Linked DNA regions of Sus scrofa. The protein of the gene in region 2 interacts with the protein of the main gene of each other region in a pairwise test. Links are inferred from orthologs where the notes say so. Each region holds a gene or a part of one and is shown on either strand. Other genes may lie near its edges.

The links.
Region 1: the proteins of GOLGA2 (region 2) and MAGOHB interact in binary tests that used the Homo sapiens proteins (3 or more experiments, as listed by UniProt). The two-hybrid records come from large-scale screens. The link is inferred for Sus scrofa from reciprocal best matches to the Homo sapiens genes GOLGA2 and MAGOHB.
Region 3: the proteins of GOLGA2 (region 2) and ARL4A interact in binary tests that used the Homo sapiens proteins (3 or more experiments, as listed by UniProt). The two-hybrid records come from large-scale screens. The link is inferred for Sus scrofa from reciprocal best matches to the Homo sapiens genes GOLGA2 and ARL4A.
Region 4: the proteins of GOLGA2 (region 2) and SMARCE1 interact in binary tests that used the Homo sapiens proteins (3 or more experiments, as listed by UniProt). The two-hybrid records come from large-scale screens. The link is inferred for Sus scrofa from reciprocal best matches to the Homo sapiens genes GOLGA2 and SMARCE1.
Region 5: the proteins of GOLGA2 (region 2) and BCAS2 interact in binary tests that used the Homo sapiens proteins (3 or more experiments, as listed by UniProt). The two-hybrid records come from large-scale screens. The link is inferred for Sus scrofa from reciprocal best matches to the Homo sapiens genes GOLGA2 and BCAS2.
Region 6: the proteins of GOLGA2 (region 2) and CCDC87 interact in binary tests that used the Homo sapiens proteins (3 or more experiments, as listed by UniProt). The two-hybrid records come from large-scale screens. The link is inferred for Sus scrofa from reciprocal best matches to the Homo sapiens genes GOLGA2 and CCDC87.
Region 7: the proteins of GOLGA2 (region 2) and PIN1 interact in binary tests that used the Homo sapiens proteins (3 or more experiments, as listed by UniProt). The two-hybrid records come from large-scale screens. The link is inferred for Sus scrofa from reciprocal best matches to the Homo sapiens genes GOLGA2 and PIN1.

The regions. Positions count from the first base shown.
Region 1 is NC_010447.5:61,424,132-61,428,632, reverse strand, and holds the start of MAGOHB (protein mago nashi homolog 2), read right to left. Parts: upstream 2,935-4,501; 5' UTR 2,746-2,934; coding exon 2,652-2,745; intron 1,727-2,651; exon of another isoform or gene 1,670-1,726; intron 1-1,669. UniProt on the Homo sapiens protein: Required for pre-mRNA splicing as component of the spliceosome. Plays a redundant role with MAGOH in the exon junction complex and in the nonsense-mediated decay (NMD) pathway.
Region 2 is NC_010443.5:268,703,106-268,706,943, forward strand, and holds part of GOLGA2 (golgin subfamily A member 2), read right to left. Parts: coding exon 3,771-3,838; intron 3,507-3,770; coding exon 3,393-3,506; intron 2,661-3,392; coding exon 2,436-2,660; intron 2,357-2,435; coding exon 2,281-2,356; intron 2,063-2,280; coding exon 1,968-2,062; intron 1,674-1,967; coding exon 1,425-1,673; intron 1,336-1,424; coding exon 1,233-1,335; intron 1,141-1,232; coding exon 1,034-1,140; intron 943-1,033; coding exon 789-942; intron 700-788; coding exon 482-699; 3' UTR 1-481. UniProt on the Homo sapiens protein: Peripheral membrane component of the cis-Golgi stack that acts as a membrane skeleton that maintains the structure of the Golgi apparatus, and as a vesicle thether that facilitates vesicle fusion to the Golgi membrane.
Region 3 is NC_010451.4:82,225,319-82,228,002, forward strand, and holds ARL4A (ADP-ribosylation factor-like protein 4A), read left to right. Parts: upstream 1-1,378; coding exon 1,379-1,981; downstream 1,982-2,684. UniProt on the Homo sapiens protein: Small GTP-binding protein which cycles between an inactive GDP-bound and an active GTP-bound form, and the rate of cycling is regulated by guanine nucleotide exchange factors (GEF) and GTPase-activating proteins (GAP).
Region 4 is NC_010454.4:21,782,976-21,787,509, reverse strand, and holds the start of SMARCE1 (SWI/SNF-related matrix-associated actin-dependent regulator of chromatin subfamily E member 1), read right to left. Parts: upstream 3,101-4,534; 5' UTR 2,600-3,100; intron 614-2,599; 5' UTR 569-613; coding exon 562-568; intron 387-561; coding exon 343-386; intron 1-342. UniProt on the Homo sapiens protein: Involved in transcriptional activation and repression of select genes by chromatin remodeling (alteration of DNA-nucleosome topology).
Region 5 is NC_010446.5:105,991,056-105,995,610, reverse strand, and holds the start of BCAS2 (pre-mRNA-splicing factor SPF27), read right to left. Parts: upstream 3,054-4,555; 5' UTR 2,961-3,053; coding exon 2,868-2,960; intron 2,759-2,867; coding exon 2,666-2,758; intron 1-2,665. UniProt on the Homo sapiens protein: Required for pre-mRNA splicing as component of the activated spliceosome. Component of the PRP19-CDC5L complex that forms an integral part of the spliceosome and is required for activating pre-mRNA splicing.
Region 6 is NC_010444.4:5,831,813-5,836,330, reverse strand, and holds the start of CCDC87 (coiled-coil domain-containing protein 87), read right to left. Parts: upstream 2,901-4,518; 5' UTR 2,810-2,900; coding exon 236-2,809; 3' UTR 1-235. UniProt on the Homo sapiens protein: Plays a role in spermatogenesis, where it is important for normal sperm head morphology. Also required for the acrosome reaction and thus normal male fertility.
Region 7 is NC_010444.4:68,714,373-68,718,767, reverse strand, and holds the start of PIN1 (peptidyl-prolyl cis-trans isomerase NIMA-interacting 1), read right to left. Parts: upstream 2,871-4,395; 5' UTR 2,816-2,870; coding exon 2,758-2,815; intron 234-2,757; coding exon 21-233; intron 1-20. UniProt on the Homo sapiens protein: Peptidyl-prolyl cis/trans isomerase (PPIase) that binds to and isomerizes specific phosphorylated Ser/Thr-Pro (pSer/Thr-Pro) motifs.

The DNA.
Region 1 (4,501 bases), on a different chromosome or scaffold from region 2:
GTGGGGAGTGGAAAAAAATTCAATCTAAATAGCAAAAACTGCTAAAAAATAAAATAATGACACTATAAGCAATTTTGAAGGTAGAAACCATTTTATACTATTACTTGTATTAATATTTCCTACCTCCTAGCATAAGATTAATGCTGGATATATGTTGGCTAAGTTGAAGCCAGGCAACTTTTTAAATTCATGCCTTCAATTATAATTATACAATGGGAGGGTCATTTTCAAGGCCCATTTTCTTAATCTATATCACGATCTCAACAGGGAATCTGAAAATGGAACTAATATTTCTTCTAAGTTTATATGTCTTATTTTTGCTAAGTTATTTACCCAGAGCATTTAACCTAATCTGAAAAAAAATAAATAAAAAGTAGGTTTTATTCTTTATTCACAGTTGAGAAAACAGGGAGTTAAATAACTTGCCCAGGGTCACACAAGATTCAAATCTAGATATACCTTCTTAATACTCATGCTTTCCCCACTGTTCTTTTAATTATTTTCCTTCAAATGAATGTGTGTATGTATTATGGCAATGCTAATATTTTAGAACTATGGTAAAGAAGAATACCAACTATGTGCAGCTTCTGGATAAAACTGGCCGTTTTGTTAGCTGATATATACAAATTTAGGTGTACTCCTTGAGGCATGCCTCTCCTCAGTCAGTTGCCCAGGTACAGGTGTACTGTTAACTTTTTTTTTTTTTTGTCTATTTAGGACCGAATCTGCAGCATACAGAATTCCCACGCTAGGGTCGAATCAGAGCTGTAGCCTCTGGCCTACACCACAGCCTCAGCAATGCCAGATCCTTAACCCATTGAGTGAGGCCAGGATTGATCCTGCACCCACATGGATACCAGTCAGATTTGATTCTGCTGAGCCAGGAGGGGAACTCCAAGATGTACTGCGATCTTTATCCTCTAGAATGATAGGTTACCCTGATGAGGTCCCTTAGGAATCATTGTTTATAGGACTCATTATTACTGACAGAAGTATGTGGAATGGTGGGGTGGCAGATGAGAGCTATTGTCCTGGAATGAAATTTCCCTGATAATATTAGACTACCTAATTTATGTGACTGGCTAAAAGTGATACAGACACACTGATAGTTGTTCACAGGCAAAAGTCCTGAAAACAATATCACATAAAGAACAGATGAAGGCATTTCCTTCGTGGTGCAGCAGAAACAAATCAGACTAGGAGCCATGAGGTTGTGGGTTCAATCCCTGGCCTTGCTCAGTGGGTTAAGGATCCCGTGTTGCCATGAGCTGTGGCGTAGGTTGCAGACGCGGCCAGGATCTGGTGTTGCTGTGGCTCTGGCATAGGGCAGCGGCTACGGCTCTGATTAGACCCCTACCTGGGAACCTCCATACGCCAGGTTCGGCCCTAAAAAGACAAAAAAACAAAAACAAAACAAAACAAAACAAAAAAAACCCAAAAATACAGATGAAGAATTCAGGTAAATCTGGCCCCTTAGCTAAATTTAGAAAAGACTTGGGTAGAATGAGGGAGACTAAGGTAATTAAGGTTTCTAAATAATTAGATGTAGCTACCCTGACTTCTACCTAAAATATCTGATATTCTCTCATTTTTCTAATATGTGATCCTCCCCTAATTTTTCTTTTGCGCTTTCACAGAACTTTGTCCAAAGCATGAGCACAGCACTTACCATCAGAACTGCCTTATGATTAGTTTCACGTTTGTGTCACTCAGCAAGATTTAATTCCTTGAGGGGAATTAAAGAACCCGACGCATTAATATAACCTCAATTTTTGTTTTTACATGTTGCCCAGCACATAACATGCACTCTAAAAAGAAAAGCCTATGCCGCTTTTAACAAGACTGTTCTTGTTACAGTAAGAGTTCTATATACAGTACAACTATCTAAAGAGAATCAGAGCTGTCAAAAGATGTAAATTGCTGCCATTACTTGGGCAGCAGGCACTTTCACCGGCTCCTGCAGCTCTCAGGAGTCCGACTCCTTTATTTTCCCTCAGCGTCCAAGACAATATCTACTCTCATTTTGAGACTCATCTCAACTGTCACCTTCTCTAAAGATGACCCGACTCTTTCATCCAGAACTAACCACTCCCCCGTTTTTGGAGTTTCAACGCATGCTACATGGAACAACTATATTTAAGCACCCAGAATACATCGTTACACTCATTTCTTTTACATGTCCCGCTTCCAGTTCTGAACAGCAGATTTTTTTTTTTTCTATTCATGCTGCCTTACATACAGCGCATGAATGAATAAAACGGACGCATGGGTAGTTCGAAAGTTACTGTTCACCGCAAGATTTAAGCATCCACAGGCCCACCGCGTGGCGGGGATGTTCTCATAAAACGTTCGAGTATTAGGTCGATTAATTGGATGGCCTTTAAGGTCCCTTCTGGTGAGCAGATTCTAGGATTCTGATTACTGTAGGTTCCATTTTAGTATCTGGCAGTATAGACTTTTCTGAAATAACTTACACCGATTAGTTACCTTTTACTCACAAAACCAATATACTCTCCGATATTCTTAAGCTCCTCAGCCCCAACGCACTCTCGCCAAGCCCGCGGAGGCTCGCCCTCCCCACACCGCCTCCTCCGCGGCCTCTCCGCCTCGCTTCCCCCAGCTCAGCACCGCTCAGGAGCGGCTCAACTCACCGTCCGGCCGAAACTCGAACTCCAGAAACTCGTGTCCAAACTTGCCCTTGTGTCCTACGTAGTAGCGCAGGTAGAAATCGCTGGCCATAGACATCTTGGTCCCCGAAAAGCCCGCCGAAGGCCCGGCCAACGTGCTACAGGGCGCCTGGCAGTGACGTCAGACGCTCAGGATAAACACGTCACTGCGAGCGCGGCCATTCCGCCTCCCGCATCCCCAGAGGAAAACCGGAGGGCGGAGTCTCGCGAGAGAGACTAGGCGACGCCGTGGGAGGGCAGCAGCGATGTGGACTTTGGTTTATTAGAATGAAAAGTACGTTATGTTCAAAATTAGATAGGTCATATTATATTAGGAAAGAACAGCAGTGTGAGCATATGCAAGCATTTGTTATGGGTTTCGAGCTAAGGTTTGCAAATCGCTCTGGCTTTTCTGGTCGGGTCTCTAATTCTAGGAGCATCCCTTGAAGTGGGTGTGGCCTTATTCCCCTTTTTTAGTGGGATGAATAAAGATTAAACCTGAAAACTGGAATAGCAAACATCTTACATGTTTATCATCTACAAGGTACTAAAGTTTACTTTCTCTGCTTTTTATTTCATTTAATATCCACAGCAGGCCTGTGAGGTATCAACATTTTCCTATTACAGACCAAAAACCAAATGCAAACAGGCTTTGAGAGTTTGGATAATTGGGTCATTGCCCAGCAACAACAACAAAATTTTGAGAGCCAAGATTCAAGTCTACGTCTGCCTAACACTAAAGCCCATATTTTTTCTCTGTTAGTTTGCTACAAAGTACTTTCACTATCAAAGATTAATGTAAAGACATTAGAGAAAATCGTAGTCAAGTCCTGTAAAAACATACTGTCAAAGTAATAACAGGAAAGAAAAATGTGAATATTCGAAATTATCACTACAAAACACATGTTAAATAAGTGGGAATTAAAATGCACATACATATAAAATATATATGTTCAAAGCAAAACATGATTTTACTGAAATTAAAAAAAAAAGATACAAAACATGATTTTACTGAAATTAAAAAAAAAAGATACAACCTTAGAACGGCAAGATTTGAAGTACAGCCCGCTCTCCTGCTAGATTTTTTTTTTTTTTTTTTTTTTTAGTCTTTTTGCTATTTCTTGGGCCACTCCCACGGCATATGGAGGTTCCCAGGCTAGGGGTCCAATCGGAGCTGTAGCCACCAGCCTACGCCAGAGCCACAGCAACGCGGGATCCGAGCCGCGTCTGCAACCTACACCACAGCTCAGGGCAACTCGGGATCGTTAACCCACTGAGCAAGGGCAGGGCCGAACCCGCAACCTCATGGTTCCTAGTCAGATTCGTTAACCACTGTGCAACGACGGGAACTCCTCCTGCTGGATTCTTAACACAGGCCTTTCCTCTTCAGACGAGAATTGCTAGTTATCTAGCATCTAGAGGTTAATAATAATAAAAGCAAAGTAAAAAGAATCCATCAAACAGGAGGCCTGATGAAAGGTACATTGAAACTGAAAATCTCTGACAATCATGGTATAAAAGAGTTTCTTAAATAGTAAAACATTTCGTTGAATAAGTGTTTATCCTCGGTGGCCTCTGGAGTTTTGGCAATTTTAATGGTTTAGCCCATGTTTCTTATGGGAGAGTTAAAATTCAATTAGTGAAGGAATGCTTATCTGGGTGAGTTTCAACGAATGAGGAAAGACAAAGTGAGCTTTACACAAACCCTATTTTTCAAATATTATCACCTTTCTTTTACCATCACACAGAATGGTCCTGCCTGTTGAATGACTTTTAGCCTTCAGTGGGATTTAGTAAAAAGAGTAACAGTCAAAAGACCTGGGGGAAATTCTCTT
Region 2 (3,838 bases):
GCCTGGCCTCGGTTTGCCCCAACTTCCCAAGGCCTATTAGAGTGCTGCCCAGTTGTCTAGCTGGACAGGGGGGGACACTTGTGCCCCAAAGTGCCTCTGAATAGAGGATGCATAAGCCCCTCTTAATGAAGGACTGCTTGATGGGGGTGAAGAGGCTACCAGGGAGCCCCTGCTCCCCGAGAAGGGCAGCCTCCTAAATCAACTGTCTTTACCGAGCCTCTGGCTCTTTGTTTTTCTGGAACTATTAATCGTCCAGAGATCAAGACACAGCCCTGGCCAAGACGGCCAGGGGTCTGCACCTATGTGTCTCCCCCCATTAGAGGGGGGGGCTTGTTCCCCTTTCCAGGGGCATTAGCTTGCTAGTCTAGGATGACGACGTGACTGGGAAGGAGGGCAGGGAGGAGGGACAGGGTGGCGGGGACGGGTGGGGGCAGAGCCCCCGGCCCCAGTTCTCCGGTCTTTGCCTGCCAGCCTCAGGCACTTAGACCACCATGATCTTCACCTCGTCGTTGTCGTCAGCCCGGTAGAAAAAGGGGATGCAGGGGTTGCTGCCCAAGCCCAGGCGCTCCTGGGGGTTCTGGATCTCGCGCAGCAGCTGCATGATCTGCTGCGCGGTGGGGTTCTCGGTGAGGGTCTGGCCCAGCAGGGCCTCCCCTTGGGTGGGCTCCACATTGTCCGAGAGGCTCACCTCCAGGAGACCTTGGGAGAGGGAGGGGCAGGCTGGGGAGTGGTGTGCCAGCTCTCCCTGGCCCGCCCGGCCACCCGCCCTCCCCGAGGCTGCTACTCACCACCCTGGTTCTCAGCAGCGCCAAGCTCCTGGGGGGCTGGGGGCGCCACGGTGGGCTCCCCAGCAGGGTTCTGGGCAGCCAGGAATTTGCCTTGCCATTCATTGCGCTCGCCCACCAGGTGTAACACCAGCTCCTGGAGCTCCAGCAGCTTCACCTGGAGGGACAGGCGCTCAGCAACCCCACCCCGGCCCTGGCCCTGGCCCTGGCCCTGCCCGCCCCTCTGCAGAGATGGTCGGGACCCCTACCTTCATTTCCTCTTTGTCCTGAGCCAGCCGGCTAATGTACTCCTCCTTCTCGCGGTGCCGCTCCTTCAGCACCGCCCTCTGGCTCTGATAGAGAGCAATGTACTCTCCTGCAGGGAGCGGGCGGGCGGCAGGGCTCGGATGGTCCAGCACGGCTCCCCCGACCCCCACCGCCACCCCGGGCCCCGGGCTCCCGGCTCACCGATAGTGTCTGTCTCTCCGGACAGCTGGATGCAGCGATGTTCCAGTTCCTCTACCCGCTCCTTCAGATCCACTTTCTCTTGCATGAGTTCAGTAAAGCGGCCCTGTGGCCAGAATGGTAGGGTTGGGGCTCAGCAGCGACCTGCCCGCAGGCTCCTCCCCTCCCGGCCCCCGGTGGGGGCGACTTGCTCACCTGCAGCTTGTCCATGGCCACCTGGAGGGCCTGGTGGGTCTCCACAGGCACACTGTCCCCCCCGGTCCCGGGGGCTGACACACTGTCCCCCTCGGTCCCGGGGGCTGGGGCCTCCTTCTCCACCCCATCTTGGGCTGGAGCTACCAGGTGAGCCAGGCGCTGGCAGCGAAGCTTCTGCTCCTTCAGCTCCCTTCGGAGTCGTGCCTGCTCTTCCTCGGCACTGGCTAAGGCCGAGTTAAAAAATTCCACCTGCAGGCAAAAGGTGTGCATGTGTTTTTTTGGGGGGGCCATGCTCATGGCACATAGAAGTTCCTGGGCCAGGGATGTAAGCCTCGCCAGACAGTGACAAGGTCGGATACTTAACCACTAGGCCACCAGGGAACTCCGTGCGTTGGGAGGGGCACTCAGGACCAGCAGGGAGACTATGACAGTGGCTCCCAAGGGAGTTCGGGGTCCAGAGGAGTCAGAGGGAGGGAAACGAAGAAGAGCAGGTACAAGACGAAAGCGGGGGTGAGATGGGCAAGGAAGGGGAGCTCAGCTCACCACGGCCTCTCGGCTATCCAGCTCCTCTGGCACACTCAGCTTTGGCCGGGGAGCTTCCCCGGCCTTGTCCTCGTCCTCAATGTCCAGCTCAGTTCCTGGAGGGGGGCAGCCAGAGGGTCCTCAGACAATCCGGCCAGAGAGATGGAGCAGGCCGGGAGGAAAGCTCGGGGCCCAGCTCTGCCTCCCACCTCTCAGTGCAGCCCTGGGCCAGCCGTCGCCAGAGGGAAAGGATCCGTTGTTGTAAAGGCCTCCTCTAACTCAGTTCTCGGCTGCTTCCACGCCCCCCACCCCCTCCCCGGGCCATGCCACTTGCCTTCCCCAGGCACAGCCATGAGGGTCAGCTGGGCCTGTAGCTGCTGGTTATGCTGGTTGGCAGCTTCCAGGCGCCCCTACGAGGCCAGGAAAGAGAGTGAGCAACATGGAGTGCAGGCCTCCCTGCCTCGCGGCCCAGCACTCCAAGTCCCTGACCTGGGCCTCCTGTAACTCTTGCCGGGCTGTCTCCACCGCCATCCTGCCCTGCATGTCCTCGTGCTGCAGCTGGTCCACGAGCTGGGTCTGCAGTACCATCTGCTTGTGCAGCAGCTCCTTCTCGGCGGCCAGCTGCTGGTAGGCGGCCACATACTGCTGTAGGTGGCCCAGGTACTGGTCTCGCTGCTGCTGCAGATCCTGCGCCTCTTGGCTCTTGACCTCCACCTGTGGGAAGACCCTGGGAGTGAGGGCAGGTGGTGGCTTGCTTCCGGATTCTGGGCCCGTAGCCTGCGGAAGTCGGGGCTCTGCTGGCTGCCCAGGTCCCTGGCTTCCTTGCTCCAGGGCCTAAGTGACTGCCACCTTCACCCAGCCTCACCCTCATCACAAGCTTCTTTCCATCTGAACTTCAGGCCACAGGCTGGTGGAACAGCAGAGAGCAGCAGCCAACATCGGCGAAGTACACACTGCATGCCCAACACTTTACATGCGGGATTCTCGTTTACCCCTCAACACCTCTATGAGGAAAACACTAACCTTCTTTTAGCTATGCCTGAGGCACACAGAAGTTCCTGGGCCAGGGATCGAACCCAAGCCACAGCAGTAACCCACACCACAGAAGTGCCAATGACAGGTCCTTAACTGCTAGGCCGCCAGGGAACTCCCTGACCTCCTTTTAAGTTAAGGAAACTGAGGCTCAGAGATGTGAGGGCTGACCCCAAGCAGCTAGCAACCGTACACCTTCTCCTCGCCTCTAATTCGGGGCTCAATGCCTCTAGTGGGGATGATGACCTAAGGCCCAGGGCTACTCAACTCCGCAAGCCAGAGGCCAGGGGGGGCAAGAGGCAGTCACAGGCTCTGAAGGACTCTGGGGTCACCTGGCCTGGCTCTGGCCCCGGCCCCACCCTCCCCGGAGGCTGCTGCCCATCTCGGAGCCCTTCCGGCTGGGGTAGGGGTTACCGTCTCCTTCAGCTCTCCCAGGTTCTCCTGCAGCTGGCCCAGCTTCTTGGCCAGCTCCTTCTTGACATGCTGCTCCGAATGCAGCGCGCTGGTAATCTCCATGTTCTCGTTGGACTGCACAGAGAGGAGCAATCAACTAAGCTGGAGCCCGGCTCAGGGACCAGCGGCAGCAGGCGGGTAAGCCCTGCCCCTCCCCAGCCCCCTCTGCGCAGGGCCCTCTGGCTCACAGGTGGCCTTCGTGGGCCCCATTTCACTCAAGGGCCATACCACCCATTTCACAGGTGGGGAAACAAAGACCCAGAAGGATGAAAGGTCTCGCCCCCGCCCCAAAGGACCTGGCCAGGGAGGGGGACCGGCGGGCTGGGGAGGGCTGCTCACCAGCCTGACGAATCCGTTCTGCAGCTCAGCCAGCTGCTCCTTGAGTTTGCGGTTCTGCGTGAGCGCGC
Region 3 (2,684 bases), on a different chromosome or scaffold from region 2:
CCGTTAAGGCAGCCCGGCGCCCGGCCAGCGCCCCGGGAAGCGGCGTCTTGTCCCCGGCCACCGCCCAGCCCTCGCTGGGGCCCTCCTGCTGGCATCTACGCGATCCTACGTGGCTGTCGGACGAGGGAAGGACGGTTAGTCAGGTGAGCCGCTGCAGGGCAGGCAGCTGTGTGGCCACGCCCTGCCGAGGGAGCCGAGCCTGCCGGCTGCTGAGGGGCGAGGTGAACGGGTAGTGCTGGGGAGGAGCGGACCTGCTCTGGCGAGTGTCGCAAGCCCGATCCTTCATGCCCAGGGGCCGGCGGGTCCGCAGGGGGCGGCCTCCGGCCAGCGGACAAAGGGTTAACGCGCCGGCGGTGACCGCGGGCCCCGGATGTGAGAATCGTGGACCTGCGTCCAAGGGCAGCGCCGCAGGTGCGCCGGGACGGGCGGAGCGAGAGGGATGGCGGGGACCCGACCGGCCGAGGCTCCCCCTCCCCTGCAGGGGCCGCTCGGCTCCCTCCGTAGGCGTACTGTTTTCTAACTTGAGGGCAACAGGTGGTGCTTGTGGACCGAGAGAGAGCCTGGCTCCACCGCTCTAGGAGCGGCAGTGACTCGTACCAATTAGGGAGCGGGGGCGGGCGTGGTAGGGACGCGCTGACGCAAGTGACCAATGGGGCTTGGGCTCAGGGGTGGGCCGTGAGGCGTGGGCGTGGTTGGAGCCTGAATCCAGGGTTTCTAGTGCGACAACCGCCAGAGCTGCGGAGAGCGCTAAGCTGGGCGGACGTGGGGTCCTTCTCTGCCCCAGCGTAGCAAAGCCTACCAATGCTTTCTCGTTTGGACCCCGACTCCAATTTGGGAGGTGAGAACATTGTGTTTTACGTAGGGGGTTGGGAGCGGCTTGGGTTAACTGTGACCGTGGGTATGTTGTTAGGCATATGGAATTAGATACTAAAGATCAATCGATTACGTGATGCAAATTTTCTTCCAAAAAAACCACTTCTATGGCTACTGCGACTTGTCCCGCATGCTGGTGACTAGGTTGTCTCCGGAATGAGATCTTTGAGGTCTAAGGACCCCGGGGGGAGTAGAGAAAACTACGTATTACTGCAATTTCAGTGAATGTTAAAGAATTTCAGTGGCATCGATTTTTCTGTCGTCTGCGTCGGATTGCGTACATTTCTTATCTCATTTGGTATGTTTATGGCAACAAGTTTCATTTATCAAGTTCCTCGTGTTGCTTATTTAGCAAGAAGAGAGGAAAACAGTTGTAGTAAATTATTTCACAAGAGTAACTTATTCATTTCCCCCCTCAGCAGCTTGGTAGCTGTATCCCCTAGGAAGAGAACCAAAGCAGTAAGAAGAAAGCATTTGAATTTGGAACACTTCTTTGCAGCTGGAAATGGGGAATGGACTGTCAGACCAGACTTCTATCCTGTCCAGCCTGCCTTCCTTTCAGTCCTTCCACATCGTCATTCTGGGTTTGGACTGTGCTGGAAAGACAACTGTATTGTACAGGCTTCAATTCAATGAGTTTGTAAATACTGTACCTACCAAAGGATTTAACACTGAAAAAATTAAGGTAACTTTGGGAAATTCTAAAACAGTCACTTTTCACTTCTGGGATGTAGGTGGTCAGGAGAAATTAAGGCCACTGTGGAAATCATACACCAGATGCACAGATGGCATTGTGTTTGTTGTGGACTCTGTTGATGTTGAAAGGATGGAAGAAGCCAAAACTGAACTTCATAAAATAACTAGGATATCAGAAAATCAAGGAGTCCCTGTGCTTATAGTAGCTAACAAGCAAGACCTGAGGAACTCATTGTCTCTCTCAGAAATTGAAAAATTATTAGCAATGGGTGAACTAAGCTCCTCAACTCCCTGGCATTTGCAGCCCACCTGTGCAATCATAGGCGATGGACTAAAGGAAGGACTTGAGAAACTACACGATATGATAATTAAAAGAAGAAAAATGTTGCGGCAACAGAAAAAGAAGAGATGAACCACGATACCTTTTCTATTTGTGTGGAGTAGGTTTTCTCCTTCTGATTTTGACAAATGGAAGAGTGTCTACAGCCTGGTTTGCCTGCCTGCCCTCCTGGATGCTGTTAAAGCTTTGTTTTGTTGAACAATCAGATGTCCAAATCTACTGCCTTGTGGAAGATGAGTAAATGCAGTGCTTCTTCAAATGGTCTCTTCTCCCTACCCCACAAGTCTTTTGGTACTACCATTTTGGGAAGCCAAGCAAGGATAGGAAATTGACCAGAAAACAGTTGTGGAAATTTGACCTGAAGTTAGTGAAATAAAACTTTGGAGAGTGTCTGCCTAGTGTTTTGTGCTTATGTCTTATGGGGGGAAGCCTTTGCAAGGAAATTGCATGCTAGGCTTGGTATGTTAAGATAAAATGCTAATGAATGAAAATGTTATGGTAGATTAATATATATATACACACACAGTTATATTGATCACATTGGTCCAACCAGTAAGGGAAAAAGAGGAAGTGTTTGGTTTTTAAGTTTTGGCCAAATGAGTTTTGACATTTTGGGGAATCAAATACTGTAATACTATATCTTGATTCTAGACAGTATTTAAGTAAGTCTAACTTAAAAGAATAAAAATGGTATTTGGGGCGTATTCAAGTGCATGGATTAGCTTTTCCGACACAGCATGTTTTGACGTGTAGTCTTTTATATTTTAGAAAATAG
Region 4 (4,534 bases), on a different chromosome or scaffold from region 2:
TAGAAATAATGAATGCCAGAATGAGCATTCATTTCATATTAACTTTCAAGACTCTTAAGAGATTAATAAGAAAGAAGTGCTAAACTTGTCACCTATTCCCAATTAAAAAAAGAACTGAGCATAGGAGGTTGGCATTTCAGCAGTATGTTTCTTTAAACATTGGGGCTGGTTCGAGGTAAGATGCAGAGTTATTCTATTTAATAGGAAGCGCTGTTTTTTTTTTTTTAGCTGAATTTTTCATCCTGTTGCTGTGATGACTGAGTGACTGTCACTGGAAGACATCTGGGTTTTTGTATCAAGGCCAGACTTGGCTATTACATTAACAAGAAAATTAAAACTTACTGTTGCAGGAGCTGGGGTGGGAGGTGGGGCATAAGATGGTCTTTCTGTTTGAAAGAAAATAAATAACTTCTTGTAAACAACTGAGATATAATACTATGCAACAAAACTACCAATGGTCCTGTTTTGAAGAAAAAAAATGAGAGTATTTTGGAATTCCCATTTGCTAGGGCATTAGTCTCTTATTAATATAGATTGATAAATATAAAAAATGAAACTTACTTGACATTTTGGAAGATTAAGTTCTCAGTTCCTTAAGAATGAATCTGAGACACTAAAATAAAAAAAAGAAAAAAAAAGAAAAAAAAAGATAATCAAAACTCGGTAAGCAGAAGAGAGAATTTTTCCCTAAAGAAAAGGGTAGTTTAATTGGTATTTCTTAGTAAAATTACATTATCTTCTAGTAATCAAGCTTTTTAAAATTTTTACTAGCCTTTAGGTCATTTGGTTGATCAGAATTAAATGACTAAAACAAATTACTGGGGATATTAAAAAGTAATATTAGGCATGTACTCAAAAGGTTTTGTTTTTTTTTTTTTGGGATACCGAGCCACCTCTTGTATTGAAAACAATTTGCCGATGCCATGGCAATACTTAACCAGATTGATAAAAATATAGTGACAATAGAATGTGATGTATTATCGGGGCCTACCTCAACAAGGCCTACCAGATCAGCCGCAGCTCTGCCTTCCTTTTGGGACAACAACTTCTATTAAAATGGAGCCATATTTTATTCCGGGAGGCAGTGCAAAAGGCAATTGGTGTGGTCATGAACTTTACATTCTCTTACGGTGATAAATAGCTTTATAACTGCTGGGAATACATTTTGAGAGTCTCCCTGAAAAAACTCTTTATTAAACCTTTCAGCCCGTTTCAAAATGTAGCTTCCTCAATGGAGCTTTCCTGACAAATCACTCGTGCAGAATGAATTGCTTCCTCATCTGCACTCCTACCCAATTTACACAGCTCTATGGTATCCTATTAAACCTGTTCACACGGCTAGACTGGAAACAGGGACCATCGAATTCATTATTGTAGTCCCAGGACCCGCCTCAATCCTTGAGGAATTTTGTCTTGGTATTACCAGCCCACTGCGTGACCGTGCACACACGAGCATCTTCCTTACCTCAAAACATATCACACACGGTGCCTACAAAGACATGTCATTTTTTTTTTTTTAAAGGCAAACAACTTGTATGGCTATTGGAGTACTTTCATCCAACATTATGTGAAACAAACATGATTTTAGTTTTTTGCTTCTATTTTGCATTTGAAGGGAATTCCTGAAGCATTATGAATAAGAGGCATGGTGTGGAAAAAAAAAAAAAAAAAAAAAAAGGTGTTTCTCAATGGCCCGACCTGGGAATCTCCCTCTCTCCTTAAGGAACAGGCAGGAAACTACTGAGTCAGGTGCAGATTTCCTCCCTGCTCACTTTCAGGTAGGCTGTCAACGTCCAGTAGGCCTTGCTGTGGGGAGCCCTGACAATAACTGCCACAGACTCCCTGGTACATCACACTTGATTGTTAATACTTTAAAATTACTGATCTCCTTTGCTAGACTCTAAACTCCATGAGTGAACTTGTACATTTGTCCACCACCGGATCCATCCCTGGATCCGGCGCCTGGCATAAAACCCTAGATAAATATTTGAATACCTTACACCGGGACAGGCTTATTACTTACACCATCTGGTTTCACAGTCACAACTACCAACGAGATGTGTGTATTCCCATTTTACAGAGGAAAAAAAGGGAGTCTCAGCGAGTTTAAGTAACCTGTCCAAAAACACACCGCCAAAAAGCGCCAGAGTTGGGTTTCAAACCCAGGCCAGTCTGTTTCCGAACCACATCGTGAGTCCTCAGCTCGCTGCCTGAAGCAAGGGGAAACAACCTTCCTGGGGGTGAGGAGCACGGGCTTGGCTTGCCCCAAGGGCTTCCTCTGAGGTCGTATCCTTTAGGTTTGTTGTGAAGGATGCACTTGAGCAGCAACTCTACTAAAGAGGAGTGGGCAGGGGTGCTTTGATCAATTTCGCGGGGTTAGTGGAAGGGGCGCATCTGGCCGCTAAGAAGGAGCCCCAGATGGGACTGCTTCCCCACCCTCGCTCCGCTAGGCCTCGGAGAGGCCGCAACTGGCCCCTGGCTCCGGCCCCGCGGCCGAGCCTGAACCCCAGCAACCCCGGGGAACTCCGGGTCCGGCCAAGCCAGGACACCACGCCTCGGCACCCTCCCAACCCAGTCCGGCCCAGTCGGGAACACTCACCCGCGGGCAGAAAAAGCGCCCGCAGCTCCGGCCTCGCTTCCCTTTGTCCCGCGCACGCCCCGCCCCTCGCGTCCGGAGCTTCCGCACTCGCACTTTCAACACTCTTCTGAATTCCTTTCCAAGCCCCACCAGACTCTCTTTAGAAAAATAAACCTTCTCGAGGGGGCGCGGTGGTGCTTAGTACAGTCAAGGATTTTTTTCAGGCTCCATGTGTTCCTCAAAACTCCCCGAATTTGGGCATTTGCCAGCCGGCGCCGATTCGTCACGGCGGAGAGGGCGGAGGTGGCCCGACCGCGGGGCAGGCCCGGACCCCGGGCGGTGAGGAGCTGGAGCGGCAACCGGTGACGCGGCGGGAGGTGCGAGGCTGCGCCGAGGGGAGGTGGGAGCGCGGCCTCGGCTTCCCCGCGCGGGGCCGGAAGGCGGCGGGAAGCGCGCCCGGCCGCGAGCCCCGGAACCACTGTGGCCGCGCGGGCCGCGCGCCACCCGGGCGAGGCTGGGGCTGCGCACGCTCCCGCCTCCGCGGGCTTTTTTTTTTCTTTTCTTTTTTTTCTTTCTTTCTTCCGGTCTTCGTTCCTGTTTCTGTGGGAGCCGGAGTGTATACGTCAACAAGTCGGGGATGGAGGCGTGGAGCGCCCGGTTCGCCGAGTTTGCGTTGTCCCGCGCGCCTCCCAGGGCTGCCTGCCTTAAAGGCCGGGCAGGAGCTTGGCGAAAGCACCGTGGCACTTTTCTAGGTCTCCCAAGCGCGAGCCTGGTGTGACTGGCACAGGTTTCTGATCCAAGGCCCGGAAATGTTAATCCTCTTGCCCCAGGTTGTGTACCCTTGCAGCTCTTGGCAAGGGTCCCTGTCCCAAGGCGCCTTGGCTCATTCGGTTCCCTCCCCTGGGAACGATGGTTTTCACTTTTTAGCTTAAATGCAAGTGACCTTCTGGATCCAGCTCAAATTCTGTTTGTGATGCCCTTCGGAAGCTCTCTTCTCCACCCTTAATCCTTCCTCTAACTCCCAAGGTTCTTTGGTAGCATTATTATAGACTTTACCTGATACATTGTATCAGACCGTCTTTGTCATCTTCCGTTTAACAGGAGAGCCTCCAAAGCAAAGGTTCAGTCTTGATCATCTTGGCATCGCCAGTACCCAGGAGGAGCTTGACTCATTGTCAGATGATCAGTAAACACGTTATGGAGGCAGATTCTGGCCTAGACCAGGGCTCTTTCTACTAAATCATAAATAAGTTGGTTTACTGAATGGATAGTAGCCTTTCCTTGGATATATAAACACTTGGCCGATGTTGCAGGCCACAGTGGAGGGAGAAGGATCTGAAATTACCCGAAAACACTGTTGACGTTTAGAGTGACTGCGTGAATTCCTCTGCTACCCTTAGCCGCCATCCGCCATCCTGAGTGTGCCATCAGAGACTAGGGCAACTCTAGAAGTCTGCCAAGCCAGAGAACGAGTGACTCTCTGTCTAGTTCTTCCACCTCCAATATTTTTATACTCATGATTAGAGATGAGTGAAATTGAAAAGCATATTGAAGGGAAAGACTGAAAAAGAAATCATCAAAGGATGACGGGCAGCCTGAGTGGTGCTTGTGGTAATGTACACGAAGTTGCTTTTTTAAAATATAAAGGCATTGGAGTTCCCTGGTGGCCTAGTGGTTAAGGACCTGGCATTGTCACCCAGAAAGCTTTGCACACCACAGGCACAGCAAAAGGAAAAAAAGAAAAAAGAAAAAAAAATACACCCTCCCCCCACACACATACATATGTATTCATTCCTGGGTGCTAGGAACAAAGCATGCTAGTGGGAAATGGGTGGCACAAAGATGGTGGAGAAGGGAAGAAGGGGATCTCAGAGGAGCAGTGACATCGATATCTTTCTCACCTGGTCTGTAATCAGATGTCACTTTCTCAGATTTTTCCTGACCTATTTAAAATTG
Region 5 (4,555 bases), on a different chromosome or scaffold from region 2:
GCTCTAAGGATTCACTGGGGGCAGGGGAGAAAGAAGATGGCCTGGACATACATAATTTGCTTTAGAGCTATGAGCCTAAATTTACACTTCCTTTTTGATCCTTGCTGCTCTTTTTACACTTTACTCTTTGGAAAGAATGGAGAGAGAGTTCCCATTGTGGCTCAGCAGTAATGAACCTGAGTAGTATCCATGAGGATGCTGGTAGATCCCTGGCCTTGCTCAGTGGGTTAAGGATCCAGTGTTGCCGTAAGCTGTGGTGTAGGTCGCAGATGTAGCTTGGATCTCGCATTGCTGTGGCTGTGGTGTAGGCCGGCAGCTGTAGCTCTGATTCGACCCCTAGCCTGGGAACTTCCATATGCTGTGGGTGCAGGACCTAAAAAGAAAAAAAAGAATGGAGACTAGAAGAAGGGACAAAAGGAACTGGTTCTGCTGTTTGCTCCAACAATTTTACTATTAAAAAAAAAATGTGGTATAGCTCTACCTCTTCAGGCCAATGTTTTGGTCAACATTCTATTCCGTTTAGACTAAAGAGTAAGCTAAAAAGGACTTCCAGAAGCCCACATTCCTTGTTTAAAAGTTCTGCATTAAGTATGTCTTGTTGGAGAAAGCCTTTTTTTTTTTTTTTTTTTTTTTTTTTTTGGAATACTGCTGAGCTGCACACACCTCTAAGAAAATGTGGTTATTTTGTTTCCTGCAGACACTAAGGCATTCTAGCTAGAAGGCTATGCACAGTGACAGATAAAGAGTAAACACTACTAATGAGGTGAGAGAAACTACAAAAATACAGCACACACAACCTTGAGCCACGTAACATAGAAGCCCTTACCTAACTCACATGGCCAATAAGTGAGAGATCTGGAATTTTAACTCAACTCTCTCCAAAGACTGAGCCAACACTCACAGGGCTGTCATATAAGAAGTCCAGGCATGAATGGCACATGGTAAGCATTCGTTAAATCAGAATGCCTTAGGAGCTCTTCATACATTCAACTGACAAATATTTGGGTGCCTATTGTGTGCCAGACACTGTCCTAAGGGATGAAAATACAGTGAAGAAGACAAAAAGGATCCCTGCTCATGGAGTATCATCTCAGATTACATAGGCCTTCCTCAACCATCCTATCTAAAGTAGTCACCCAGTCACTCTGTATCACATCATTACTTTAATTCTCCATGTAGCTTTACCAATAATCTAATAATTTCTGATCCGTCTCTACACTCTAGAATGTAAACTCCTGTTCCCCAATAACTTAAAAAGAATGTCAGAAATAGTTGTTAAATGAATTAATGAAAGAGCAGCTTCAAAGGCAGTTTGAAGATCATGGGGAAGTTAGTAAGCTGCACTTTTCCTATCCAAAAAACTGGTATAAAAAACATACAGTTTACAATTCACAGGACTGCTTTTAGGACTGAGATAGTGAGCTCAGTACACTATTAGCTCCTACTATTAAGAATCACTATACTAATTATAAAGATAGAAGTATAGGTTCTACTCAAGAGACCAAAAAAGAAAACCTGTTCAAGTGTTTAAAAGTTTGTGATTGAATGAAGTTATCTGAAATTTTCAGAAATCAGGCTAATAAGGACTTATTATTACTGTACCTAGTTTTTTTTTTGTTTTGTTTTTTTGTCATTTTAGGGCCACAGCCTTGGCATGCTGAAGTTCCCAGGCTAGGGGTTGAATCAGAGCTGTAGCTGCCAGCCTATGCCACAGCAACGCAGACCCAGTGGCCTCTGTGACCTACATCACAGCTTACGGCAACACTGGATCCTTAACCCACAGAGCATGGCCAGGGATCGAACCCAAGCCCTCATGGATACTAGTCAGGTTCGTTAACCACGTGAGCCAGGACAAGAACTCCTGTGCATAGTTCTTAATACTGTAACATCTACATTTGGGTGACATTTAGAAAAAGCATGGGAAAACAGGATGCCATAGGAACATCTCTCTCCTACTTAAAACTTAACCGATATATTTTTTTCATGTTACTTCAATAGAAATACTGCTTTTTATAAGAGATTTCTTTTGTAAATAAATGGTTACCAGATATGGGGAAAAACGGAACATGTATATACTAAAATGCCTAACAGAATCCATTAATTTAGAAATATTTTACATTTCATTTAGCTGATTAGACCCTAAATAGTATTACAGATGCACTTCTAAATATTTAAAGGGTGCATTACTTAGATACGGTTTGTCTCTTCAGTCATTCTCACAGATTCAGAAAATACTTAAACTTTGGTTCAAAGACCGCCCTCCAGTGGTTCTCAGAAGCTTAGGTAACTAGGCTTTTGTGTATTTAAAAAACCCTAGATCACTTGTTTTGCAGTAGACCTTAAAGAGAAAAGGATCCCTTTGAGAATTTACGCAGTGAACCTACCTCGGAAAAACGTTAACATTCGTTTTTGCATTGTTAGATCAGTTCGCGAAGCCCTAGAAAGTCCTTCTGTGGCTCTAAGAATAAGAACCCGGGAGACAGTTTATCCATGCAGCTATTTTCAATTGACTGACACTACCTATACCAATGAGTAAGCTGTGGCTAGGCAAGTAACAGTTAAAGCTGGAATCTGAAATTCACTTTTGTGTGGCTAAGGCTCTCAATCCAAAACAAAGATTCACAGGATCCTGGTTTATAACGTGGACTCAAAATATCACACTCACTTCAAAAGCGGAATAATCTGGGGCTGTCAGGTAGCTCAAGTAGTTCTTGGTAGGTCGGTACCTGCGAGTTTCCTCCTCTACCAACGCCGCGGCCTAAGAAAGAGAACAGAGGCCAAAATAAGAGGAGCACATCGTTAGGTCAGTCTTCCAGCCCGAAGTGTCCGCGAGCGCTGAGTCAGTCACACAGACACCCGGAACTTACCGCTTCCCGCACACCAGGCGCTTCATAACCCTGGTCAAAATACGGCAGCGCGTCTACAACAACCTCTCCAGCCACCAAACCGGTGCCCGCCATTCTTGGGCTCGCCTGACTTCTCTGAGTCTGCGCGGGCTCAGGCTCGCTTAAATAGGCCTGCACCCGATATTAACATAATCACGTTGCCGACGTCCGACACCTACGTAATCACGTCGAACATGTAATCACGTCTATCGTCAGCGCCGACACTGTCCTAAGCACGTCGCTTGCGTAATAGCTTTTGGCGCATGCTCAGTTAATTCCGAGGGCGTGCTAACTAGAAATTGTCCAGCCTTCTTGTTTTGGTCGGACGTGACGTCATGTTGTGTGGCTCCGGAGTCTGCAGGAACGTCTCAATTTCCTGTCCCCACCTGCTGCGCTTTTTTGCCTCCGATTGGCAGCCAAGTGGAAGAGTTGGGACTTTTGGTTTCCTCCGGCTCGCTGATATCTGGGAGGGGAAACCCTTTAATAAAACTTTTGAGGGAGGGGAAACCCTTTAATAAAACTTTTGAGGGAACTCGCTGCAAGATTTAGCGAAGAGAAGGATCCTGGTTTCCCACCTCGGCTTTATTCCCCTAACCTTCCAGTCTTCGGTTAAACTACTCTCCCTTTTCACTTCCTTGCTCTATCTGCACTATTGTTCTCCGTCCCTTGAGAATCTTTGCACCGAATAAGTGGAATAAGTGCAGCTCTCGCAGACTCTAGAAGTGGGCGTTAGACTCCAGTGAAAACTGCGAAGCTTTGGAGTCTGGAGTGTGCCTAACAAAAGGAACCTGATCTTCCCCCGGGGCGAGATTGGTAACTGCCCACTAACCTCATCTTTTAAAAAACTGATTTTTGCCTTCAGGACGTGTATAAAATCCAATCATTTTGCTTTTAGGGCTTCTGGTAACAGGACAATCTTTCTCATTGCATCCTAACACTCGTGATACTGCCAGTACCTATTTCCAGCTCCCTTTGATTAAGCAGGGGAAGACTAAATAAGGTAGGTAGGACTCTATACCGTGTCCGGTGTGCAAATATCGACCCAGACTTTGCCAAGAGCCTGGAAATGTCGGCCACGGTTATTAAGCTTGAACCTAGGATTATCTTTTAACCTACCATTAATTAAGTGTGCTAGCTATATAGATTTAACTGAAGTAAAAAATCTACAACTTAAGCCATTTAAGATTCTCCCAAGAGATCCACGGAATTTTTTGTTTATTAAAAGATCTGTAAACAACATTTTATACAAATCTTGAGCAATTACTTTACAAACATGTCCAGAATTTGTAATACTTTACAAAAGCAAAATAAAAGACTTAAGAAAAGGAAGCAGCTTCAGATTGCAGGGATAAAATAAGACCCCCATCCCTGTAGCAAAGCAAAAGTCTCCTCACAGAGGGATGGCCAGGATCCACCAGTTACACCTTCTATCCCCATTTTATAAACACTCAATTCCCAATTACTAACTGTTCCCTCAGGATTGGAGTTCCCTCAGAAGTGACCAAATGGGGAGATGTCTGGTAAGATCCCCACTGGGGTAAGCTGCTTAACATGTTTTTTTTTTTTTTTAAAAGACATAGGCTCAGTTTTATTTTCTGGACCCACATATATAGAAGTTGTATTATACAGCACCCGTCTTAAATGGTGTCTGCTTCAGATCCATTCAAGCA
Region 6 (4,518 bases), on a different chromosome or scaffold from region 2:
GATTTGGGCTGTACTGTGCAGAGCTTGGAAGAAATGAGAATACTGGGCTTGGGGCTTCTTTTCTGAGAACTTCATGGTCAAAGAAAGTGTTAGTTTCAGTCCCTTGGTGGTTGGAGGTACCGTTTTTCAGAACCCTGCACTCCCAGACAGCGTTTCTTTCAAAGCCGTCAAGAGGCCCCGGATGAGCTGCTGGGTGGATGGCGGTGAGGGCGGGTTCTGAGGGCACCTGGCCTGGTCAAAGGGCATTGGGAGTGTTCCCAGGGACTGGTAGAGACTGGCTGCTGAGCTTCCTGGACAGGGTGGGTGGGTGGGGGGCCCTCCTGGCCCGGACCAGGTGGCGGAGCCGCCGCCACTGCTGCAGCCAGTAGAGCATCTCCACTTTGTCCTGCTTCATCTTGTCCAGGTAGCGGCGCCCCTTGAAGGTCACTGGCTCACCAAAGACTGACTCGATCTCCTCCAGGAGCGGAACCAAAGGAGCCTCCACTAGACGGAGCTTCCTGTGGAGATGGCTGCGGATCTGACTCTCCTCCAGGAAGCGACTCAGGCCCGTGGCAGTCTTTTGGAAGAAGCGGTTAGGGTCGGAGGCTTGTCGCTCAAACCACTCCAGTCTCCCGAGCAAGATCTCCCGCAGCTGAATGGGCTGCAAGGCCCGCTCCCAGGCACTCACCAGGGACGGCAGCTGCCTGAGACGGGCGTTGGAGCTGTACTTGACGGCCATGTCCAGCCGGTCCTTGTCGCGGACCTCAAGCATGGACCACAGCCGCTCCAGACGCTTCTGCAGGCTCAGGATCTTGTGAGAGTCTTCCAGCAGGTTGTTCTTCTTAGGTCCTAGCCTGTGCGCCAGCACCGTGTTCCAATCCCACTCTCCTGGCACAAAGTCTGGTTCGTCCTCTTCCAGCAAGGGAGGCGGGAGCTGGATCTTTAGGGTCTCTTGCACAGGGGTCACGGGCTCCGCAGGAACCTCCTCTTCATACATGTGGAAGATGACATGGAGGAAATCTGTCTCCTGGTTGGCGAGATACCTGAAGTAGTCGTCCACAGACAAAGCGGTTTTCCACCAGTTCATCCACAAGGCCCCGTGGGACCGCTTCTCCCAGCTCTTTCCTGCTTGCAGTGACAGGAGGGAGGCCATCTTATCCGGGGGGTGCTGTAAGGTGTTGGCTCCCTGGGGATAAAGCCCAGCCAGCTCGGTGTTGATGCTGCGACGCTGTTTTTCTTGATTTAGAAAGGCTGAGGACAGGAAGGCCGACCAGTCTTGAATGGCTGCAGGCTCCACCAGGGGCCCCTGGTCGAAAGAGAAGTGGTCTTTGGAGACACGGCTCATCAGCTCCTTGTAAATCTCCCTGATGCTACTGCCGACAGAGAGGTCCACATCCATTTCCTCGACAAGTCTGGGTTCCAGCTCGCCAGTCAAGTGGTTGTACAAGACTCCGGCCCCGTCAACGTGGAAGGAATCCACAAAGTTTCGCCCCGAGACCTGTACAGCGGCTGCCTGGACCACCTGATTTCTTAGCTTCAAAGTAACAGTCACCGGTTGTGCTTCAAGTGGAGGGGGCGTGGGGGGGCGCTGCCCAGCCGCTTCATTCTCCTCCAGACCCTTCAACATTCTCTGCAGCTCTTCCATGTGGTGTCCTGGGCGAGGGCGGTAGGTCAGGGCCCCCAGGAGCGGGGGCAGGCCTGAGTCCACCAGTGAGCAGCGGGTCCGATGCAATTCCATGTTCCTCATTATCTGCTTCAGGTCCTCAGCCACTGTGTCCCCTGCCAGCTCAGGTTTGCTCTCTGCAACCAGGACCAGCGGGGTTAAGGGTCGAGGAGAGGGCGGAGGAAGACCCAACTCATCTGCTAGCTTCCAGCCCTCACGTAGGGAGGGCAAGGACTGGCCCCTCTGGAGCTGGAAGGAGAGGGGCAAGTGGGAGGGGGCGGGAGTCCGGCTGGGGGGAGCCGCAGAGCACGCAGGCAGGGACGCAGGCTGTGGAGAACCCAAGTTGCTTTCTCTCTTCTTCTGCACGGAGGACAGCCAGCGGAGAGGCTTCCTCTTCTTCAGCTGGGGAATGGACTTCAGTTCCTTTACCGGATCCAGTTCAGGCTCACTGACAGACTCTCGCGGGCGGCTGAGCTGGATGAGATCGTTCAGGCTGAGGTTGAAATTCGGCACTTGGGCAAAGCTAGGGCTCTCATACCACGGGATAGGGCAGAGCCTGAAAGCCTCAGGGGAGCCGCCCGGGCGCAGCCTGGACCTGCGGGCTTGGGCCTGCTCTTCCTTCAACAGGGCGCGGAAGTCAGCGAGCAGCCCACGGTAGACGTCGGGGCTGGTGAGGAAGATTGTGCATTCCCTGGCGAGGCTGGCGGCCAACCGGGTGAGCGTGGCTGATTCAGTGAAGACACTTGCAGGTGTCGACAGCATCTTCTGAAGGTGCAGGGAGCGTACGAAGAGCAGCTCGCTGCTGAGCAGCACGTAGACCAGGAGCCGCTTCCGCAGCCTCTGATTGTCCAAGTGGCTCAGACCAGGTTCCGCGGGGGGCTCCTGCCAGCTGCATTTTAGCTCGTCCAGGATGACCTGGGTGAAACAGAGTCGTACCTTCGCAGGCGCGCGCGCCTCCAGCCCGCTGCTGGCCAGCCGCTCCGTTACCTGGCGGCAGAGGGACGCCACGGTCAGTCGGGAGAAGGGCAGGGGCAGCAGCATGGGGACCTCCTTCGGGAGGCGCTTCTCAGACTCTGTGTGCGTCGCCCTGCGGGGGAAGAGCGACAGCGGACGCAGCAACTTGTGGTAAAACCTCTGGAGCTCTGGCTCCGGCTTATTGGGCTCCATCTCAGGGCTGGCATCCCGGGCCCGGCAGGCGGAGCTGGCGGTTGCTGAGGCAACGATGGCCCGGATGCCCAAGTGCGCCTGCGCGGCCCATGCCCGCCGCAGCCTGGTGGTGGGTGGGGAGGCGCGGTGCCTTGTTTGCGTGCGCACCAGGAGGCGGGGCGAGGAGCGTCTTCCCGGGCTCCGCCTCCCCGCGGCGCTGTTCTGGGTTGGTGCCTGCCGACCCGGACAGAACGGGTCCTTCGGCAGGTGCCTGGGTCCAGGATGGCATCGGACTCGAGGGACCGCGAGACTGCCTGCATGGTGAGGGTCGAGGCCTCGTGTGGGGACCTCGCAGAGCACAGAGCCTCGGCGTCTGGGGTGATCGTTAACTTGAGAATGGGGGAAGGAGCGGACGCCTGGGTTGGGGCCTGGGGCCCCAGCTCGAAACTGGAATGTGAGACCAACAGAGCCCTTGGCGTTAATGTTGGGGGGTGGGTGTTGGTCCTGAAATGATCGTGAGTGATAATGAAGGAGCTTGAGGAGGAATCACGTGGGGCGCCGTTACTCCAGGCCTTTGGGGGTGGTCATAGGGGAGATAGTGAAACAAAATCACGCAAGAAGGAATTTCCCAGCTCTTATCGACCCGTTCCTGCTACCTTTGCAGTTAGAGTTCGCGGTGCAGATGACCTGTCAGAGCTGTGTGGACGCGGTGAGCAGGAGCCTGCAAGGGGTGGCTGGTAAGAGCCAGATCCGAAAAACTTTTCTTCCAGTCTGGAGGCCTCTGGGAGGGACAGGAAGCTCTCTTAGACCAACCCTACTCCCATTTACAGATACAGAAATTGAAGCCTGGGGAGAGAGTGTTTTCAGAGAACCAGAGGCGGAGGCTGGAGTGCAGGGCTCAGGCTTGCCCAGCCAGATTCTTCTACTGCCTCTAATTGGCTGCCCCACTGGTGTCTTAAACCTCAGGTACCTGGAGAGTGAGGAGGTAGACAGAGCATAGCCCCCTGCAGGGGATGTTCCCTGGAAAACAGGCAGTTCTTGTTTGAGAAACAGCGTGATTTTTTTTTTTTTTTTCCTTTTGTGGGCTGCACCTGCGGCATATGGAGGTCCCCATGCAAGGGTAGGGGTCGAATTGGAGCTGTAGCCTACACCACAACCACAGCCATAGCAACACCAGATCTGCAACCTATACCACAGCCCATGACAACACTGGATCCTCAACCCACTGATCGAGGCCATGGATCGAACCTTTGTCCCTAAGGATGCCAGTCAGATTCGTTTCTGCTGAGTCACGACAGGAACTCCAACAGCGAGTTCTTGACAGAGTAAACAGCTGCCCTGGCCATGTTCCATTCCAGGTGGCTCTGATTCTTAAAAGCCAGCTAACTGGTCTGGTGTCTACTTGGCACAGTTGGAAAGATCTGTGAAGGCAGAGCCACCAGCATGGCCCTGGAAACTGCCTGCCTTTGATTCTCTTAAAGATTTATCCAGTCCTGGAGCTCCCATCGTGGCTCAGTGGTTAACGAATCCAACTAGGAACCATGAGGTTGTGGGTTCTGTCCCTGCCCTTGCTCAGTGGGTTAAGGATCCGGCGTTGCCGTGAGCTGTGGTGTAGGTCGCAGATGCGGCTCGGATCCGCGTTGCTGTGTCTCTGGTGTAGGCTGGCGGCTACAGCTCCGATTCGACCCCTAGCCTGGGAATCTCCATATGCCATGGGAGTGGCCCAAGAA
Region 7 (4,395 bases), on a different chromosome or scaffold from region 2:
CTGTCTCCATCCCTGCTTACCGTTGATCAGCTCCAGAGCCTCCTCCTTAGTCCGGGTGATCTTCTCCTGCCGCCAGGATGAGGGCCGCCGGGACTGGCTGTGCTTGACCAGCAGATGCGAACAGCGGACCCTGGTGGGCTCTCCTTGTCCATTTTTGCTGCCGCCACTGCTGTTGCCACTTGGCCGCTCCCACTGGCTGGCATTAGTGATGTGATTGAAGTAGTACACCCGGCCTGGAAGAGGTGGAAGTGGAATTCAGCTGGGACCTGCTCACAGGACACCACTGGGAAGCCATGATCAGGGGCTGGCTGACGAACTACCTTTCATTCAGCAAGTCCCCAGTGCCACCAGGCCTTAGGGAGCTAGCATTCTAGCTGGGGACACAGACACCAAAGAAGCAAATGAGACCACCTTACAACTTCAGTCATTAATAAGGTCAAGGGGGGAGTGCAGGATTTTTGAGCACTAGCTAGTCTCAGACTACTTGTACTGCCTTACAATAAATGCTACACTTTCTTTCACCACCAAAAAAAAAAAAAAAAAAAAAAAAAGTTCAAGGGGGAAAATAACTGAAGGTTAGGAAGAGAGGAAGCCTCAGGGACAGAGAATGGTTCCAAGCATGCATTCAGCAAGGCCGGTCCAAATCTGTGGCTCCACCACACCCTCACATGTGATCTACCTTCCCGGGGCCGTGGTTTTCTCGCCTATAAAATGAAAATAAGGACAGTACCTGCCTGAAGGAGTGACTGTATGAATTCACATCTGCAAAGTACTTAGGACAGCACCTGGCACACTTAATTAAGAGTGTAGGAGGAGTTCCCGTCATAGCTCAGCGCTAATGAAGCAGACTAGCATCCATGAGAACTTGATCCCTGGCCTCGCTCAGTGGGTTAAGGATCCAGCGGTGCCGTGAGCTGTGGTGTAGGTCACAAATGTGGGTCAGATATAGCATTGCTGTGGCTGTGGCATAGGCTAGCAGCTGTAGCTCCAATTTGACCCCAAGCCAGGGAACTTCCATATGCCATGGGTATGGCCCTAAAAAGACAAAAAAAAAAAAAAAAAAAAAAGACTGTGGCAGCTACTAATATCTCCATGTTATAGACCACAAAACTAAGCAACCTTCCCTGGGTATTTACTCTGCTCCAGGCATAAAAGCCGGGGGTGGGGTGTGGTGGGGGAGATAGCAGGATCTGTACTCAGGTGTGCCAGATGCCAAAACTCTGCTCTTTTCCCCTCTGGAGTGCACTGTGCAGCAGAACTAGGGGCCAGCATTACTGGGGGCCAGATGTTACCCAGAGACTAAGGAGCATGGAGTGAGGGCTGCAAACAAGAAACCTGAGGCCACTCTCTGGCCTTTTGAGATAATATTCTGTCTAAAGAATGTGCATCTTCCAGGCTGCTCTCACCTTCTGAGACGGCCCACACTGTATCAATAAATCTACTTCTTATCTAAGGAAAAAAAAGAAAGAAACTTAAAGTAGGACCCAGTAGAGATAGGCTGTCATTCCAGGGGCCGAGTTTGTCTGGGTTATATGGAGGACTTCTGCCCAAGACCGTGAAGGGCTGGATGTCACCCAGGAGGAAGACTGTCAGGGTTGAGCTGAGCAGAAATGGCAGGAGTGGAGGCCCAGAACTGAGAAGAGCATCAGCTTTTTTGCTGCAGGTCCCAGCCACAGGGCTGCAAGCAGGGTGGGCCAGAGCTGAGCCAAACAATGCCTCTAAAACCTTGGCAATGGGTTCCATCTCCCTGAACCTGAGTGTACTCATCTGAAAAGTGAGGGCAAGGTGAGAGAATAAAGATATAACACTTCATGGGGTTAATGTGGAGAGTCCATCATGATGAGTGCAAAGTGCTCGACAGAGCTCCTGGCGTTCAATAAATTGGAATTATTACTGTGACCATGATGATTATGAGCTATGGAGGCAGGGGAGTGAAATGGTGGGCCTGCATCTCAGAGGTTTACAGTAACAAGGGCAGGGGGCTCTGGAGTTAGACTGGTATCTAACCCAGCCCCCAGCCCCTGAAATGAACGACTATGGGCGAGTTTCTTAAGTTTTCTGGCCTCGGTTTCCTCACCGGCAAACTGGGTGTTATTAACTACCCTACCTCTCAGAGTTGTGGCCAGAGTACACACTTAACACCCTTAGCACAATACTTGGCACTGAGATAAGACCTATTATTAACATTATTATGGGGGAAAAGCCCTAATCGGCTCCGAGCACAGAGACTATTCTCAGGCAGATAACCTGAATTCTCACATTATAGCAAACTCAGAATTCGGTGTGGATGGCAGGCACGTTAGCAGGAGGTTTAGGATTCGAAGCCAAGCAACACCCTGGGGCCACGCCCTGAGCATGGTGTTGGGGTGTCCTTCCCCAGGGGTGCCCCTTGGGCCCAGCAGGGTGCAAAGACATCCCCCCCCACCCCCGCCGGATGTCAGGTGCATTAGGCTGAAAGATGTCAGCAAGATCGGCAGGACCAAGGCCATTGCCTGGGGGAGCGCCGCGGGTACACTGTCCCCCTACCACCCAGGCAGCGCGCCGGGCCTCTCCGACCCAGTCCCTTGCCTCAATTTCCTCGGGTTCCCAGCTCCTCAGGCTCGCAGCCCCGGGGAGGGCCGGGGCCGTTACCCAGGGACAACGCGAAGGAGCCAAGACCCCACGGGAATCGAGCGGCCGCCCGCGTCCGAGGGACAAGCTAGAGCCCTGCTTCCATGGGCCCACACGGCCCCGCCCCAGCCCCGACCCCCGCTGCACCTGAGCTGCGGCTCATGCGCTTCTCCCAGCCGGGTGGCAGTTTCTCTTCGTCCGCCATCTTCCCTCCTGCGGCAGAGCCCGCTCCACCTCCGCCGCACCGCCTCTGCCGCCCGTGCCCGCCCACCACCGCCGCCGATTGGCTGGCCCCGTCACGCCCCGGGGCATGGCGACGACACTCATTGGGAACCCTAACTGTCCGGATTGACTCTCTGGCTTCCTATTGAGCAGAAGAAGGAATAGGCGGAGCTTCACATATTTCACCAGGGCTGGGCCTTCTTGAGGGCCTCACCCAAGCCCCGCCCTCCCCCTTTCCTCGGCCCCTAAGTGGTGGGAAAAGGACCTGAGCCCGCCTAATAACGCCCTTTGGCGAACTTCAAAGAAGTTTCGACCCCGCCTTTGCGTCCTTCGCTGCAGAGCCCATTCGATTGGCCAATGCCGCAGCAATTCCCGCCTTCTTAAGCCTACCCCCAGCCGGCGCCCCCACGTGGAAGTGCCTGGCTGGTGTGAGGGTAACCGCCGCAGAGGAGGTTCTTGGAAAAGGCACGCTGCCTTTGCTGTTACCATAGCAACCCAGTTACCTTGGTGATGAACAGCTAAGAACCCAGAAGCCTAAATTTGGCTTCTCCACCCTCCCTCTTCCCACCTGTTCCTTCCACATGCCCAAAGCTAGCCCACCTCCTTTTAGTTTTGTGTAAGTCTCTTTCCCTATGCTACTTACCTAGACACCTTCCACTTCCTTTAGAATCTACTTTACTTCACTTATTCCCTCACAGTCTGGCTCCTGTCTCCATCCTGGGTGACTGGTAGGTGTTGGCATTGCCATTCAGATGGGGACAAGGGGGAAGGTGCAGGTGGGAAGATGAGGAACTCAGTTTTGAGTCAGTTTAAACTTAAGTCTGGCACATGTGGGACACACCAAGGAGGTGGTTGGAGACCTAGGGCTGGAGACAAACATGGGAGTCAAAACACCAACAGGGAAGAGTTCACTTACAGTTCATCTATAGCACAGGCACTTACGTAACCGCTGAAAAGAATGAGGCTCAGTGACATGAAACGCAGAGGAACACGTCTATGACAAATTACAGAGGTAGGATGCTGTAGGTTAAGAGCATTCAGGAGTCAGATTGCTTTGGGTTCAAAGCCTAGCTCTACCATTTGCTATTACCTTGAACAAATTACTTAACCTCTGCACTTCAGCTTCTCCATCTGTGAAATGAGTTTAAGAGATAATACATATCGTAAATACCTTTGATATAAAGATTAAATGAGTTAATAATCTATATAAAGCACTCAAAAGCAGTATCTGGTCTTAGCAAGGATATATGCTGCTCAGTGGAAAAAAAAGTCATTGTACAGTGTAGCAATTATAGAATGTATGAAAGCATAACAAAACCAAAAAAAAAAAAATTCAGCAAATAAAGGTTAATTTGAAAGAATGACATCACTTACAGAAAGATATCAAAGCTTTAAAAAGGCCTTAAAAAGCAAGCTGCTGAACGGTATGAATGTTATTAGAGTATGCATACTTAGTTGTGTAAAAACTGCAGTTTTATATCACAGAAAATTTCTGGATTCATTCAAATATATTAATGACTAACTTAAGCTCTAATGTAACATTTTGATTCTTTTTTACAAGCA